Neurospora crassa OR74A: one gene and its partners. The protein of the gene in region 3 purifies or fractionates together with the protein of the main gene of each other region. This does not show direct contact. Links are inferred from orthologs where the notes say so. Each region holds a gene or a part of one and is shown on either strand. Other genes may lie near its edges.

The links.
Region 1: the proteins of NCU03085 (region 3) and NCU03625 purify together in Saccharomyces cerevisiae (affinity purification with mass spectrometry, with the first as the bait; 3 studies listed by BioGRID). This does not show direct contact. The link is inferred for Neurospora crassa OR74A from reciprocal best matches to the Saccharomyces cerevisiae genes LSM8 and SMD3.
Region 2: the proteins of NCU03085 (region 3) and NCU04606 purify together in Saccharomyces cerevisiae (affinity purification with mass spectrometry; 3 studies listed by BioGRID, with this or other methods). This does not show direct contact. The link is inferred for Neurospora crassa OR74A from reciprocal best matches to the Saccharomyces cerevisiae genes LSM8 and PRP6.

Annotation. Positions count from the first base shown.
Region 1 is NC_026505.1:1,886,791-1,891,733, forward strand, and holds NCU03625 (small nuclear ribonucleoprotein Sm D3), read right to left. Parts: upstream 2,819-4,943; 5' UTR 2,635-2,818; coding exon 2,587-2,634; intron 2,516-2,586; coding exon 2,455-2,515; intron 2,367-2,454; coding exon 2,237-2,366; intron 2,103-2,236; coding exon 1,991-2,102; 3' UTR 860-1,990; downstream 1-859. Other genes in the region: NCU03624 (hypothetical protein), read left to right, coding at 1-825; NCU03626 (hypothetical protein), read left to right, coding at 4,497-4,665, 4,718-4,943. UniProt on the Saccharomyces cerevisiae protein: Plays a role in pre-mRNA splicing as a core component of the spliceosomal U1, U2, U4 and U5 small nuclear ribonucleoproteins (snRNPs), the building blocks of the spliceosome. Also binds telomerase RNA and is required for its accumulation.
Region 2 is NC_026505.1:1,527,063-1,532,425, reverse strand, and holds NCU04606 (pre-mRNA splicing factor), read right to left. Parts: upstream 3,160-5,363; 5' UTR 3,067-3,159; coding exon 2,732-3,066; intron 2,620-2,731; exon of another isoform or gene 2,580-2,619; coding exon 161-2,579; 3' UTR 27-160; downstream 1-26. Other genes in the region: NCU04607 (hypothetical protein), read left to right, coding at 4,675-4,726, 4,805-4,862, 5,291-5,363. UniProt on the Saccharomyces cerevisiae protein: Participates in pre-mRNA splicing. Part of the U4/U5/U6 tri-snRNP complex, one of the building blocks of the spliceosome.
Region 3 is NC_026501.1:4,492,531-4,497,377, reverse strand, and holds NCU03085 (small nuclear ribonucleoprotein Lsm8), read left to right. Parts: upstream 1-2,175; 5' UTR 2,176-2,655; coding exon 2,656-2,689; intron 2,690-2,846; coding exon 2,847-2,923; intron 2,924-3,029; coding exon 3,030-3,221; 3' UTR 3,222-3,703; downstream 3,704-4,847. Other genes in the region: NCU16385 (glutaredoxin domain-containing protein), read left to right, coding at 1-8, 70-195; NCU03086 (HpcH/HpaI aldolase/citrate lyase family protein), read right to left, coding at 252-779, 832-857, 915-1,007, 1,070-1,253; NCU03084 (inosine-uridine preferring nucleoside hydrolase, variant), read right to left, coding at 3,704-4,669, 4,737-4,771, 4,834-4,847. UniProt on the Saccharomyces cerevisiae protein: Component of the nuclear LSM2-LSM8 complex, which is involved in spliceosome assembly. The LSM2-LSM8 complex plays a role in the biogenesis of the spliceosomal U4/U6-U5 tri-snRNP complex by accelerating PRP24-mediated annealing of U4/U6 di-snRNA.

The DNA.
Region 1 (4,943 bases), on a different chromosome or scaffold from region 3:
GACATGAAGGTCTCGGTAGAAGGGGGCCCGTCGCCGCACACGATTGCGCGCCTGAACCAGGCGCTGGCGGACTGGGCCAAGGATGCGCACGAGGAGCTGCAGCAGCAGTTAGAGATTGCGTTCGTCGGCGAAGCGTGGAGGCAGATGAACTGGTGGAAGCTGTTTTGGCGGGTGGATGACGTGGGCATGCTGTCGTCTGAGATGATTGCCCAACGATTCTTGCCCGAGGCTGAGAAGCGCTTGATCTTTTTGGCCGGCAGGCTCCAGGAGGCTGGAATTACTACTGCGGGCGGAGAAAAGCCGGTGACGTACTCCGGCCCGGCGGTTCCACCGTCGTTCCCCGAGGGCGAGAGCAGTGTTGCTACTACTGCTGCTACTACGGAATCAGAGACCAAGGGAAATTGGCCTGCGCATATCCCCTTCACAAGAAACTATCTACTAGCGGAAACTGTTCCGGCCCTGCAAGCACTGGCGCAGAAGCTCGTGCTACAGTCATCAACATTAGCGGGAGCCACCACGGCACTCGGCGGCATGTCCTGGCTCTCTGGATTCGGAATATATGAGTGTGGAGCCGTCGCCGCCTTGGGTATTGTTTTGAGTTTGAGGGGCTTGCAGAAAAGGTGGGAGAGGGCGAGAGATTTCTGGGAGGGCGAGGTTCGTGAGGAAGGACGCAAGGCTATTCGCGCAACCGAAGCCAGCATTGCCGAGGTGCTGGATAGCGTTTCTCCTGAAGTTCCCGAGGATGTGGCGGTTGAGATTGAGGAGCTGAAGGAGGCCAAGAGTGTCCTCAAGCGGGCCGAGGAAGCGCTTGCGAGGCTGAAGTAGAAATGATGGGTTGCAACAGATGTTTAGAAGGACATTCTGCAAACCGAACTTGGTCAGTTTCGGACTTCTTGTGCTTATTATTTTCCACAGCCCTCTCGCCCTGCCTGTTAGTCCCTTAGGTGGGTGTTTTGACAATATGCCCTCTCCAACTCAACCCTTAAACAGCCAGTTGTATATTTAGTCTACACGATTCACTCTCACTCAGAGCATTGTTGCAAGCTCGTCTTATGCGAGCCTCACATATAGGGACAGGCGGGTTAGAACCGGCGGACGCAACAGATCAACCAGGGCTACACTCTTATGTACCATTAAAAAAGCAAGCCGAAGTGGGAGTAAAAAGGGGGCATCGGACTTTTGTGGTAGATATCAAAAACTGTCAGCGTAGGCTGAAGATGGAATGGGTTGTGTGTACAACAACATAATAGACAAAGACGTTGAATACGTACCCTGTCTATATCAGAACCAGGGCTAGTAGGAGTTTCGCTTTCGGTGCGATTCGATCCATGCTGTATGTGCTCGCTCCTTGGCCAAGGACTCAACTGGGGGGAGACCTGAGGCTGGCTGAACACCTGGTTCGCTCTGGCTGCTAACCGTGATGAAGCCAGGTTTTCGTTGCGTGCTGACGGACGGGTAGCGGCTGTTGCATCGACCGACCATTATCGTCCAGCTGGCGGAGCGTGAAAACCCCTGGATACGCCACGCTTCTCCCATGATCATCATTTGGCAGCAGATGGATGAGCGGGGCCAGCTGGCGTCCTCCATATCACTCCTCATCGAGGCTCTCAACCCTCCAATCCCAGCCCCAGCACTCACTCCAGTCCCTTCTCATCTCTGGCCGGCCTTGAGCCACCCTCCTCCCTATCCCTCCTGTTCCTCCTTCTCTGGGCATCCAAAGCTTGCCCCCCACACTTTTCTCTTTCCATCCAACTCGCTGCCCCCCATTTTCGGTAGAAAGAAGATCAAAGTTTGCTTTATTGGTTCCCCCCACCCAAAACGCCTAAAATATCAAAATAGCGGTTGTCGTTGCGCGCGGAAAAAAAAAAGGAGCCATAATATGCCGATTATTGTGCCCCAATATTGCATTCCGTTGTGAAATTTTCAATGATTCTCGGTCTGGGTCTGGTCTTGGTCGATGAGTCTGACGACAGGCGGCGCTCGCTGTCTTCTATCTGGCGCCGCCACGACCACCGGCGCGCGCCCTACTGACTGTCGCACGACCGCGGGCGAGACCGACACCGCGGCCGCGGACGTTGCGGGAGCGGAACATGGGGGCGTTTCTGTATGGGAACACAAAAAAAAGAGGAGGAGGAAATGATTAGCTTGGGTCCTATCCGACTTATTGGGTAGGTAGGGGGCAACTGGGGAGAAGAATCGCAACGGATGAGTTGGTGGTGGCCTGGTTTGAACGTACCTCAACATATCCGGCACAATAAAGAATCGCACATGACTGCCGCGGATGTAGACTTGTTCGAGATGGCTGACGCGCCCGTCGCGGGCTGTGACGGTGATGTCCTTGAGTTGGACGTTCATGTTGTCCTCGGCTGTTTTGCGGGGGAGCGCATTGGTTAGCATGGCTGGCCAGTTTAGAGGAGTGAATGGGAATGAAGAGTTCATGGGGGTTAGCAGTACCTTCGATAAGCTTGCCACGGTAGGTCTGGCCGGAGGTGATCTCGAGAGTGACGATATGGCCCTGTGGGACAGGAGTGGTTGGTTAGCTTTTGGCAGCACTACAGTCTGTGCATAGCAATGGTGTTTACTTACCTGAGCCTCATTGAGGAGCTTGATGGGGATACCAATTGTGGAAGTCATGTTGGCGGCTGTGTTATTACGTGGTGAGGTTGGTTGGCGATGTGGAGGGGCGAACTGATCTTTCTTGGTGTTGGTTTTAGAGATTACCTAGATGGTATGCCGTAAGTACAGGCGACTTGGTTCGCGATGATAGTGGATGCGATCAGTTGCCTTTGACGTGAACGCGGCAGCCCTGTCAGCCCGGTGCTGCTGGGAATTTCGTCGGAGAGCTTAGTTGATCTTGTCAGCTGCAAGACAGCTGCCAGATCTCACGGTACGTACCGCGCATTGAGGTCCTACACTACAAGGAAGTGTGGAGGCTTCCCCACACGCCTCTTCTGCGCTGTCCCCACATTCAGTGAACTGGTGGTCTTCGGTCATCCAAAACCTCGTCATCGTCACTGACATAAACCTTCTTTCTTCAACCCATTGGCAGTAAGTGGAATTTACCGGCCTGCTGTCATACGCTTGTACTCAATCAAAGTATGAACTGTCTGGTTCAGCACCCCGAACGCCGTTATCGCTCAACTTTCCTGGCTCATGTTCCGAGTCGTCGCATGATGGCGGCCGTCACGGGGATGGGATTGTCCAACGCATTGAACACAGCATCCCCAACCTTTTTCTCAATGAGGCCTTCTTCGATGTTCTATACGCTGAATTATGTGAGGTCCTTCGGTTCTCAATTCACCCTTGTCCCCGAATATTGGACAGTCACTCCCCTCCCGCTTTGCCCCATACCACCAGCCAACCGTTGACGAGCAACTCCCACATTCTCGACGGCCTCGTCTAGCCATTGCCTATCAGCCAAGGACGGGACGTGATACAGGACAGAAAACGCCCCTCGACGTTCTCCAGACTTCCTCGCGCCCCGAGAGATGCCGTACCCGGGTCCTTCTGCATCATGCTACTACATACATGCCTCCATCCTCGCTCCCTGTCGGCCACGACCACGGCTTGCACGGCTACGTAGTCCAGCGAGTAAGGGGCCATCTGGCCTTGTCCCATTTTCAAAACGCAGTGACGGGCTGGCCAAGTGGGCCGCCGGCCAATTGCTGTGTTGTCAGCTTGATGCCCAAACCCTATGATCAAACCCCACGAACCGCCCCGGCACCGCTGAATGGGCGAGGCAACTAACCGTCTCAACCTCGAGCTGCGGCAGGTGGGTTTGGCGTGGACTGATCTTCCATAGCACTGGCTGTTATAGGCTGCATGCATGTGCATCGAGAGACCATGATCTGTGTGCGTCTGCTCCTCCGTCTTGGTTGCTCCGAGTTCTCGGTCTTTTCTCTCCACCTTCTTTGTTATCTCGCTGTGTGAGCTGGATCGTGTGGTGATGGTGCGGTACTAGCAAGCTTTGACAAGCTCGACGGCAGCTCCGGTTGCATCCCACCTCCCACCATCATGTCCTCGTCTTTGCCCTGATTGGACGTCTCACCACTCTCCAGGAGGTGTCTGCCAACTTCTAGCGCTGGACGCTACATGACATCTCAGTTCCGAGTGGAAGATCTCTGGTCTGGTCACTCCATCAGTTCCGGTAATTGAGGAGTTGACTTGGCCGTCGTGCAGACTTTTACCCCTGGTGATGTGGGCTTCCCGTCTCCTACTTATGCCCGTCCGTCTCCCAGCGTGGGATCGGTTCGTTTTGTCACAAGATCCTTTTTTAGTGAATCGAGAATTCCATTCGCTGTTTGCTTCACCTCAAGAAAAAGAACGCAGACTGCCTGGACTACGTGGTCCTGTCAAACCGAGATCACACTTGAAGGTCGTATTGGCCCTGGATTTCCTACACGAGGGCGTCGTACCTGCTTTAGTCAACCGGAGGCCCACTCCTTCCGTGTTTCTCTCTTGGTCAGGTCTCAAGGTATTGTCTTGCCTTCGCCATAATGCCAGGAAGACATCGGGCCTATACTACCGAGCACCCGGCGAAGGGCTTCAAGTGGTTCCCATGGAAGCGGGAAAAGAAAGTGGTGGTCGAGCCTGTGCAGGTGTGGTCAGATTGGGTGTCAAGTGAAGATGGAACCTACTTCTATCGAGCCAGGAAATTGGCTGACGGTACGCCCTTGAAAATCCTTCCTTGTTGTACCCCAGCTGATTTTTCCTGCAGGTACTTGGGGAGATTATGAATACACAGAGGGTTACTACATGGGAGGTTATGCGGGGGAATATGCCGGAGGGTATGCCGGAGGATATGCGGATGGGTATATGGGAGGTATAGAGATACCCCAGGAGAAGGAATACCACCCGGCAGTTGCGGTCAGCCCTTGGAAACTCCCCGAAGAGCCCGTTGCGATCATGCCAGAGAGCTCCGAGGTCATGGAGGATCCAGAACG
Region 2 (5,363 bases), on a different chromosome or scaffold from region 3:
AAAACAAAGAAACATAACAGCCCCGATCGTGATTGAATCAGATGAAATTTGCGCTGCTCTAACGAGTCTGTTTGTCTTTTTTACCCAAACCCAGGGCTGATCATGCCTCAACACCACATTAGCATCACAAATAGTCCGTCTACATAGTAAACAACCCCCCTCAAGACAACGTCTCTGCCACCAACTTCAACACCTCGTCCGTCTTCTTTCCCGCATTTTTCGGATCCTTCGCCACCCTCGTCCACTCCTCTCCATGCCTAGGATCCACCAACACGCACTTGGCCACCAAATCCGCCCTCTTCTCCTCCGTCCCATGCTGCACCAAAAACTTGTAATACCACGCCCACGTATCGCCCACATCGCGATCCAGCAACAGCGCCTTCTCGAACCAGTTCTGCGCCCGGTCCAGCTTCCTTTCCGCCCACAGAATTCTCGCGGCCGTGACCAGCAGGATCGGATCGTCTTCCACCTTTTTCACCGCCTCGGCAAGCAGCGATTTCCGCTGCGTGCGCGGCTCGAGGTTGAGGATCCTTTCCGCCCACAGCAAGCCCGATTTGGGCATCTGCTGTAACGCTTGCGCCATGAGCGACTTGGCCTGGTTCAAGTTGCCCGCGCGCCGCTCGACGCGGATGAGTTCCGTCCATAGCTCCGGGGACTTGGGCACGGCTTGTCGGGCGCGGTCGAGGACCGAGCGCGCCTTGACGACATTGTTGGCCTTTTCTTCTAAACGAGAGTACAGAAGCCAGAGCGGGATGGACGAAGGGACGGCGCGCACGCCGGTGCTGTAGGCTTCCCGCGCAGGACCAAGTTGGCCGAGGTCTTCGTAGATTTGGCCCTTCATCATCCAGAGTTTGGGCTTGGAAGGGAAGAGCTGTAGGGCCTGTTGGACGAGATCCAAAGCGGCCTCGTTGACGCCTTGTTGACGCTCAAACGCCACGGAGCGCATCCACACGCGATCGGTGGGCGCATTCTGGCGCGCGGTCTTGAGGAGTTCGCGGGCTTTGTCGATGAAACCGTTGTCGGCTTCGAGCTTGACGGCCGCCAGCCAGATGTCCTCGCTGTCCGGGTTCTGCTTGAAGGCGCGGGCAAGGACGAGGCGTGCCTCGTCGACGCCCGCCTCGGCGGCTTTCTCGCGCGCGAGCATGAGCCAGAAGACTTCGTAGTGCGGACAGGCCTCGACGGCCTTTTCGAGCGCGTGCCAGAGGTCTTCCTTGCTGCCGTGGTTGCGCTCCAGGTCGATGGCGGCCGTGTAGAGCGATTTGCTGTTGGGGAAGACGCGGATGGCGTAGGCGTAGATGGCGCGCGCTGTGGCGAACTTGTCCCGGTTGATGGAGGCGCGCGCGTCTTCCATCCAGAGCTCCTTGCGGTCATCGTCCTCGTCGAGACCCCAGCCAAGCGTCTCTTCGATGATGTTGCTGCAAGTGATGACGGCGCCTTCCTCTTCGCACTTTTCTGCTTCGGCGATCCATTCCTCGCGCTTGGGCATGGCGTTCTGCTTGGCGAGGAACTTGACGGCGTTCTTCATCACGGGCCGCTTCTTGCCTTCGCCTAGTTGTTCTTCCAGGCGAGCGGCGGCGATCCAGAGTTCGTGCGAGTTGGGAAGCTTCTTGACGGCCTTGTTGAGAACCTTGCGGGCGTTTTCGGGAGTCTCGAGACGGGCCAGTGCCAACCAGAGGTCGAGCGACTCCGGGATAAGCTCCGTCGCCTTGGCTAGTAGAATGCGGGCGTCTTCGACGTCCTCCTCGAGGTTGACAGCCTCCTTCCATAGCGCCTCGGACTCTTGGTTATGATCGAGAGCTCTCCGGATAACCTTCTTCTTTGATCTAGGGTCGTTTTCCAGCTTCATCGCTTCCACCCAAAGCTTGACCGAGTGTGGGTTGGCTTGAATAGCCTGTGCCGCAATGACCTTGGCGTTCCGGTTGTCGTTCAAATGAATGTTTTCCAGCCAAATATCCTCGCTCTTCGGGCAGTGTTCGCAGCCCTTGGCAATCAAGCTGCGGGCAGCACCAGGCTTTCCCGCCGCGATTTCCAATCTCGCTGCAGCAATCCAACTGGCTGCCTGTTTGGGGTTCGAGTCGACAGCCGACTTGAGCATCTTCCTGAACTGCTCAATGTCTCCAATGCTTTGTTCCGCACCCTGCATGCTCGACAGCGATGTCAGGTAGCCCTTGGGGTCGATACTCGTCGCGCTTCCCGCCGTGGCCACGCTACTCGACTGTGATTGCTGTTCCAAGCGCGCCCTCAGCACCTTGTCGCGAGCCGCACCGATCTTTGCGAAATCTGTAACTGTGCCATCCTTGTTGACCCCTTCGGTGGCGGTGCCGTCTTCTGCAACGGTGGTACCGAACTGGCCGGAATCTCGCGCGGCAGCGAGGACACTGTCGGGAACGGCGTAGAAGCGCTCCATGCGAGCCTGGCGTGCCCTCTTGGTCCTGCCGGTAAGGTCCTTGGGATCTGGTAGGTTTGCCCATTCTTCGTCGGTGACCGTCTCGAGCGCTCGTTTGAGGCCGGCGAATTGCTGTTGGATTTTGGGGTTCTTTCGTTCGTACTCTAATCGTTCGGCTTCTTCTCGTGCTTCCCTGTGAAAATGCGATTTCTTGTCGGTACTCTGCTTTTCATCTATCTTGACCGATAAACCACATGCTTGCTTGAAAGTGTTGGGGAAGGGGTAGAAGGGTGTTTTGTGAATTTATGTAGGATGTCAAGTGATGTATACGAGGTAATGACTAACCTTTGCTTCTGTCGCCGCTTCGCCATCCTGTCGTCTACCTCTTTCCATATCCGATCTGCCTCCTCGTCGTCCTTCTCGTATATGCCGCCGGCGAACAAGCCGACTTCGTTGTCGGGATCCTGATAGCGGCCATCGTCTTCATTGTCGTCGTCCTTGGCCTCGGTCAGACCTAGCTGTGCAGATCTCTTCGCGACGGCCGCCTTGATCTGGTCTTCACTAGGACCCTCGCGCGCGGGACCAAGATCGGATCGTGTAGTGAAACCCGTGGCACCACGACCGAGACCGGCGACGTAGTTCTCGGGTGCGGGTTGACTGAGGAAATCCCGTCTAGACATGGTGGCGGTTTTCTGTATTCGTGATGTATTGTAGAGACGCGGTGGCTAGGATTGTGACCGTGGTGGCCGTAGAGGTAGCTCCAAACATTTGAGTTAGCGGCAAAATACCGGCAGGCTGCAAGTCGAAGTGGAAGTCGAACTCCAGGGCACTGAAGCCTGCCTGCCACTGGTCCAGGCGCTCTTGGCATTTGACGAACGAATGGCAGGCACAGTGCCAAGTAAACAGTCTACGACTCCACCAGTGCTTGGCGGCTTAATTCCACTTTCGTTGTTTACTTCCTCCTATCATTCATCTACCTCCTTTCCCGTCTTCACCATCACCAGTCAGCGGAGCCATGATGGCCATAGAAGACAACTATGACGATATTTCAGCGCTCCTGCCGTCGGCAACTGAAATGGCCTGGCTCAGTGAGGCGTGAAGTGGGACAACTTCACCCAGATGCTCGTCTGCTCTTCGTGTTGCAGCATCACTAAGGGAAATGCATTATTCATCTATGGCAATGCCTGCGATCAGCCTAGCCAACAATGTCCAACTTCAACCTCCCATTTAAATTCTTTCTGTGCAGGTGCGGCAACTACAGCATTTATGCCTCGCACCATTCAACCTTCACGGTCAGGTTAACCGCAAAGGCGGCACCATGCAAGGCGAATATACTCCCTCACCGAGACTTCGTAACACAGGTTTTCCTGTTTACAATAAACATGCTGTACAACGGCACACGATGACTGAGCCTATGCCTTTTTATTCTGCAATGAATTTAGGCTGGGTTTAGCTCCTTGCCGGCCGTCTACCTAGGTATATTTATTCAGTACCACGTCCCTGATTGAGTATACAGCGGGATCCGAGTTCGCACAACTTGAACGTCTGTACACAAGGTGCTTCCAATCTGCATACACTGTCTCAAAGCACTCATGGCGACTGAAGGAAAGCTACTCCAGCGCCGCCCACTCGAACCACCAATGTGCAATTTCGAGACCCTCCTGTTGACTAAATCTCATAAGTATGGGCATCTAGCTCGCTTCTTCACCCTTTACTACCACTCACATATTCGGTCCAGACCTTCTTGCTCGTCCATCACAGGAGAGCTTGATGTGATAGTCATGGAGCCGCTGATCAAAAACCCGATGTCTTCTCATATCAAACACTCATCAAATGACTCCGCAGGTAAGATCTCTTGGAAACCAGGCGGCTTCAGACGTTTTCCCTGGTTTGGGATAATTCCGCTGATCTTTTGTATAAGCTGTGAGTACTCGTTCCTACGTTCACCACAACACTGAGGCTGTGACCAAGTACCGACAATGCTAACTGCAAGGACTAGGTACAGGAATTGCTATAGGAGTCGTTCTCGAGAGCGATGGTGGTTCGGAAAAGAACTGGTCCGGGCTCAGACAACCCGGTGTTTTGTTGGCGTACACATCGACTCTTGCAAACGCGTTGATGGGGCTTGCCTTTGCCCAAGCGGCCGTGATATTCTTCTGGGTCCAAGCAACAACGCCGCTACCAGTTGAGTTCCGGCATCTCTCGGCTGTCAGTCAGTATGATATATCAATTGACACGATATACAGATTAGCAGCCTCCACCATAACTGGGCCGGATCTTCAAGCACCATGGGCGCAGTCAAGTCCATCTTCCAGGGAAAGGCGATTCGCGTCAGTTTAGGTTAGAATTTCAATACTCCCCTGCCCCGGTCTTTACCACATCAGAGATATTATGGCATCATCACTTACGTTTGTACAGTATCTATCCTCGTCACAGTCACGGCCCTCCTTCGCGGTCCTCTGATGCAACGAGCCTCGTATGTTCAAGTGGTCGATGTATGGCAGAACAATACCATTGATCTTCCAGTCACTTTGAATATCAGCAGCCTTTGGGGCAGAAAGTTTGGCAAGTTAAATGTGGAGTATACGCGGCCCATTGGGCAATTCGCTCCTGGATTCTCAGATGTGGTCCGCGACCTTCTAAACAAAGCGCCCATTCGGATGAGAGGGGTATATTGTGAGAACTGCACCTTAACTATCGTGGTGAGATATATTCTAGGCCCAATACTCCAATCATCATAGTGCCATCTTGAGCTGTCGTTTCGCTGGCCACGACTAACTTGAGATCATTGGTTCAGGCATTCGGCTTCGATGTTATCAACTGTACAGAACTAAGAAACAGCTCGGATACATATGATCTCGATTTCAAGGCGATCGAACCACTGAGAGAACATAATGAATTTAGGAAAAACATCATATTTGAGACCTCCGTAAGGCCAGTTATGGACGACGATCTTATTCATCACCCCGATGCCATC
Region 3 (4,847 bases):
TTCCAGTGGTGAGCTGACTCAGGTCGTCGAACCTTAGGTGGAAGTTAACACCCAGTGACACCTTGACAGATTCACATCAGCAAGGCTCAAGCCCCAGAAGAAGACCCCCAACTCTCCTCCAAGGCCGTCAAGTTGATGCACCGCTTCACGGTCGAGCAGGTTGAAGCTAAAATGAATCAAGTCGAAGAGTCATGAGAGAGGCTATCCTATTATTGGCACTCGTGTGCGTCGATACCAGGGCCTCATTCTCATTAATACGATGCCGGCTTGTCCTGCTTCCCTTGGCCCCGTGCAATGCTTAGGCTGTCCGCCATGGCAGCTCCCAACAAAGTGTAATCCGTTGCGACACTGATCATATGGAATCCCTTGTCGGCATACTGCTTGGCCTGCTCTCCGCCTGTGCAGAAGATGCCGCACTTTTTGCCTGCCGTTACGGCAGCCTTCAGGATCCTGTCAATAGCCTCATCTAGCTCCGGATCCATCTTTCCCTCGATAATCGGGTGGCCGATATTGTTACCCAAGTCAAAAGGACCAATAAAGATGACATCCACAAGCGGAGCTATCTCTTCAACACAGTCCAAGGCTTCCTGTGTCTCGATCTGCACCATGGTCAAGAGACTCTCGTTCGCTTGCTGGAGGTATTCGGTGAAGGTTGGCATGGGGTTGAAGTTTTGCATAGCGATGGGTGATCCAAACCCTCTCTTGCCTTCGGGTGGGAACTTTGCCGCGGTAACCAAGTTTTTGACATCCTCAACAGTCCTGATGAGCGGCGCAAGGATCTGGAGCACGTCAGAAAAATGTCTCCAACACAGGATACTCTTATACACTCACTCCATGCGCACCACTATCCAACGCTCCTGTAAAGGGTACATCAGTAACCGTCTGAGTGATAAGGCAATACGAATGGCACTCACGCTTGACCATCGATGGCTGAAGGTCTGGGATCCGGACAATAGGAGAAACGCCCAGGGCAGCAATGGCCGGAACTGCTTCGTGCATCGCAGCATCTGACCAATATCATTCAGCTCAACAAGCCCCATCATTCACCACCGTATTACGGGTTACCTACCGTCGATGTTTCCATGCTCGCAGTCAACCATTACCCAGTCAGCCCCCGATCGAGCGAGAATCCTCGAGATATTGGCCCCGGGTAGCATCTGCCAGACACCCATAGCAGGGCGGCTTTCCTGGGTGAAGATTTGCTTCAACGAATTGGCCGCCAGCATCTTGGAAGTTGGGTTACCGGAAGACATTGTACGGAGTTGGTGAAGCGGAGTGACGTGAACGACTTTGTTCAGTGAAGAGATATGATGCTTCAGGAGTTTTAACGTACGAAGGGGAGGAAAGGCATGCCAAGTCAGTGGGGATGCAGGTGGAAGCTCGGACTAAGTCAACCCGAACTCTTTTAAAGCAAATCCGATAACACACAGTACACACTATGATTTCAAAGTTGATGTGCAGCTCCGAACCAAGGTCCCGCCGCCACATACTCGAGGTCAACTGTAATAACCTGACGGCAGATGGCGAGGAAATGTACTGGCTGCGTTGGGTGAACAAGTTCAATTGCTGGCCAATTTGGTACACCTTCGGGAGATGTTCGTCCCCTGCCTTCGTCCAAGAGATACACAGTAGGGCGGGGCTCCTACTGCGGGGTTCGCGTCTGTATCTCCCTCCGCATTCGGTTCTACCTAGGCTGTTCTGACTGGAGACACCACAACCTCTGCCGGTATTCGGATTATTGACATGTTCAAACTTTCCGAGTCACGGGAACGGCAGGTTCAATGGGCTTGAATGGTCTCATGGAAGTCCTTCAAGCCATGGTGGACGTTGACATCCGCATCTTGGCCCTGCTATACGTATAAGCTTCCACAGAATTTCATAGGGCTCTTTGAGACTGCCGCAAGTCAGCGACGAGAAGCTCCAGGAGGAGAAAGCTCTGCATTTCTGATGGTAGACCATACGATGATGAAGGCAATTATTCAAGCAGCAACCGAAAACAGTTGAGGGCTGCATTGACACCCCAAAGCGGATAAAAGTAAACAAAGCAACCCTCCCGAATGAAAAGGGGCAAGCTGATGGGTGAGCGTCGCTTTTGCGGCAGGCAATTGAGTGGAGAATGGATCCGCTTCAGAAGCTCCAGCCTTCACCACAGTGCTGGTACGTTGTCTGCCGTGAGCCGTCGTCAGTGATCTGGGCTTGGCGATTCTACGGAAGAACAAGAGAAGCTCCAGCTTCAACGGCGACGTTCTTGTCCCATCCCCACGATTTAACCACATCCCTCCCCGCCAGCATTACGTACCCACTATTCTTCTTTGACGCGGCGCGCCGACCAGGTTGTATTCCTCTTTCGCGATCGGTCAACGAGAAACGAAAACATCAATAACCACGAACCAATTGCCCCATTCGAAGCGACGAACGACCAAACGACCCCATCCGGCCGGGCTTACCAAGATCACACGAAGCGAACAAATTGCCCTCGAGTTGAACCGACGACTTTCTGTCTGCAACCACGTGTTTCGCTTGAATCAATACTCTTCAAGTTAGACCGTGGGCTTTACGTGATACTTTGCTTATCACCGCGGTCTTGGGCCCGCGCATTGCCGGTACGAGAAAACACACAAAGACTACAGTAATAGCATCTACTCATCCGTCACCATGTCGGCGGGCTTGGTAAATTCGTACCTCAACAGTTGGTCTACCCTTCTACCTGAGCCCTTCGGCTTTTTCGACCCCTCTTCCTCTTTCCTCCATTGCTTCGGTCACAAGATCAATTGGTCACGGCATCCCAAAGTTAAAGGATATTCGCAAGACCAGAAAGCTAACAGATCCATCTTTCGTTACTTTAGAAAAGGTTTGCATAATTACAGTCGATGGCCGCACCTTAGTAGGCACACTGATCTCGGTAGACATGAGCACGAATGTGGTCAGTATATGCTCCCTCCCAATCCATACTTCGATACAGTTCCTCTGCCACCTGATAAACAAAACAAAGCATATCGCGAACGACAACTAACCCTCCAACAAACTAGTTCCTACAAAGAGCAGTTGAACGAGTCATTCGCTCCCCCGATGATGACGAGCCCTCGGCCGAGATCGAGCTGGGAACGCACATGATTCGCGGGGACACGGTCTGCCTGGTTGGGTTGGTTGATGAGCCGCTGGACGAGAGCATAGACTGGACCAAAGTCAAGGGGGCTACGATTGGGACGACAAAGCACTAGAATATACCACCGAACCATTGAACCGTTTCTGCGCTATACCTGAGCGCGTGAAGCATGGTGTCACGCTCCCTCAAAACCAAGAAGAGGAGGCAGGAGAAGGAAACCAAGGGGAAAAAAGACAAAAGTCGAACGGTGTGGCGGTCGCGGGCAGTTGACATAAAGGACAACACCGGTGGATAATGTGCGTGGCACACAAGATTTGGTTGCATCATTAGCATTTGACACGCGGAGCTACAGGTTTTCTTTTACTACATTGGTATGCCCAATCGACGATCTTTCTTCCCCTCTTACTTCCCCGTTAAGACTTATGCTGACCGACGAAGAAAAAATAAAACAAGGTGTCACGGGCAGGTCCAGCTCTCGGTTTAAGGAACCCAGCGAATATTGATTTCAGATACCCCAGATCTCAAAAACTCCGCGTGGAATAGATTCGCTTTCTATATACAAAAGAAGAAGAAAATCAACAAGTGCTGCCGGCAGGTTCAACCAAAGAGTCTATCCATCAAGATGGCGGCAAACTTCTCGTCGCCGGGGGTCTTGACCATCCTGTTAATTCTGTTTCCCTTGTTCACGCTTAGCCAGCCCATGTCGTCTCCGGGGACATCGTCAAAGGTGGTCGCATCCAGAGGATCCGACGGATGCGTCTCCACCTTGCTTGACTGCTCACCCGGCTTCGCCCTCTGTCGTCTGTCGATGACATGCATGCCCCTGGTCCATTGGCCGGAGGTCTCAATTCTAATATCTTCCGGCTTCGCCACGGGTTCCCATGCGGGGTCATCCTGGGTCAACATGTACCAAATGCATGCCGGGTCATGGAGGGACAGACCGGGCTCACTGCCGTCGCCAAGCATGGCTTCGACTTTGTTGAAGATGCCTGTCATGAAGGTCTCGATCCACAGCGCAAGCGGGCTGCCGGACTTGGTGATCGGCTGGATGGTCTCGTAGAAGTACTTTTTCCTCAGCTCGAGCGGGGTGGTGATATCAAGAGGGAAAAGGGTCAGCTTAAGCTGCTTGGAAAGCTTGGCGGGGTAAGGGGGCAAAAAAGATTTGCCGTGGATGACAGGGGGCATGGTCGAGCTCGGGTTGGGCGAGGTCAGGGCGTAGACGCGGGCGGCGGCAACGGTATCGGCGAAGCAGTTGAACTCGGCGACGGGGGTCACGTTGCCCTCGACGTTTACGGCACCACCCATGACAACCAGCTCCTTGGCGCGCAGGAAGGTTTCGGGGTCCTCAGCAGCGGCCAGCGCCACGTTTGTCAGGGGACCAACGGCAACGACGGTGACGGTGTTCTCGGGCGATTCCTTCAGGACACGGAGAATCTCCTTGTGCGCTGGAGCCTTGCTTGGGGTGAAGTACTTGGAGTACGAAGGAGGCTCGACTTTTTCACCCTGGGGCTCTTCGTCGCTGAATAGAGAGCGCCAGGTGTCGGCGGGGGAAAGATGAGGTTGCTGGGGCGGTGGTCAGGTCAAACGTACCATGACAAGAAACGCAACGCAGTCCTCGGAGTTCACTTACCTTCTCGTGGACACCATGTAAACCGTCGGCACCATCTGCAATTTGTTAACTGCTTTGTTTCTGAGGGAAAAGCGGTGGGGGTCTCAGTCTGTCTTACGGAAGTGGTCGGCC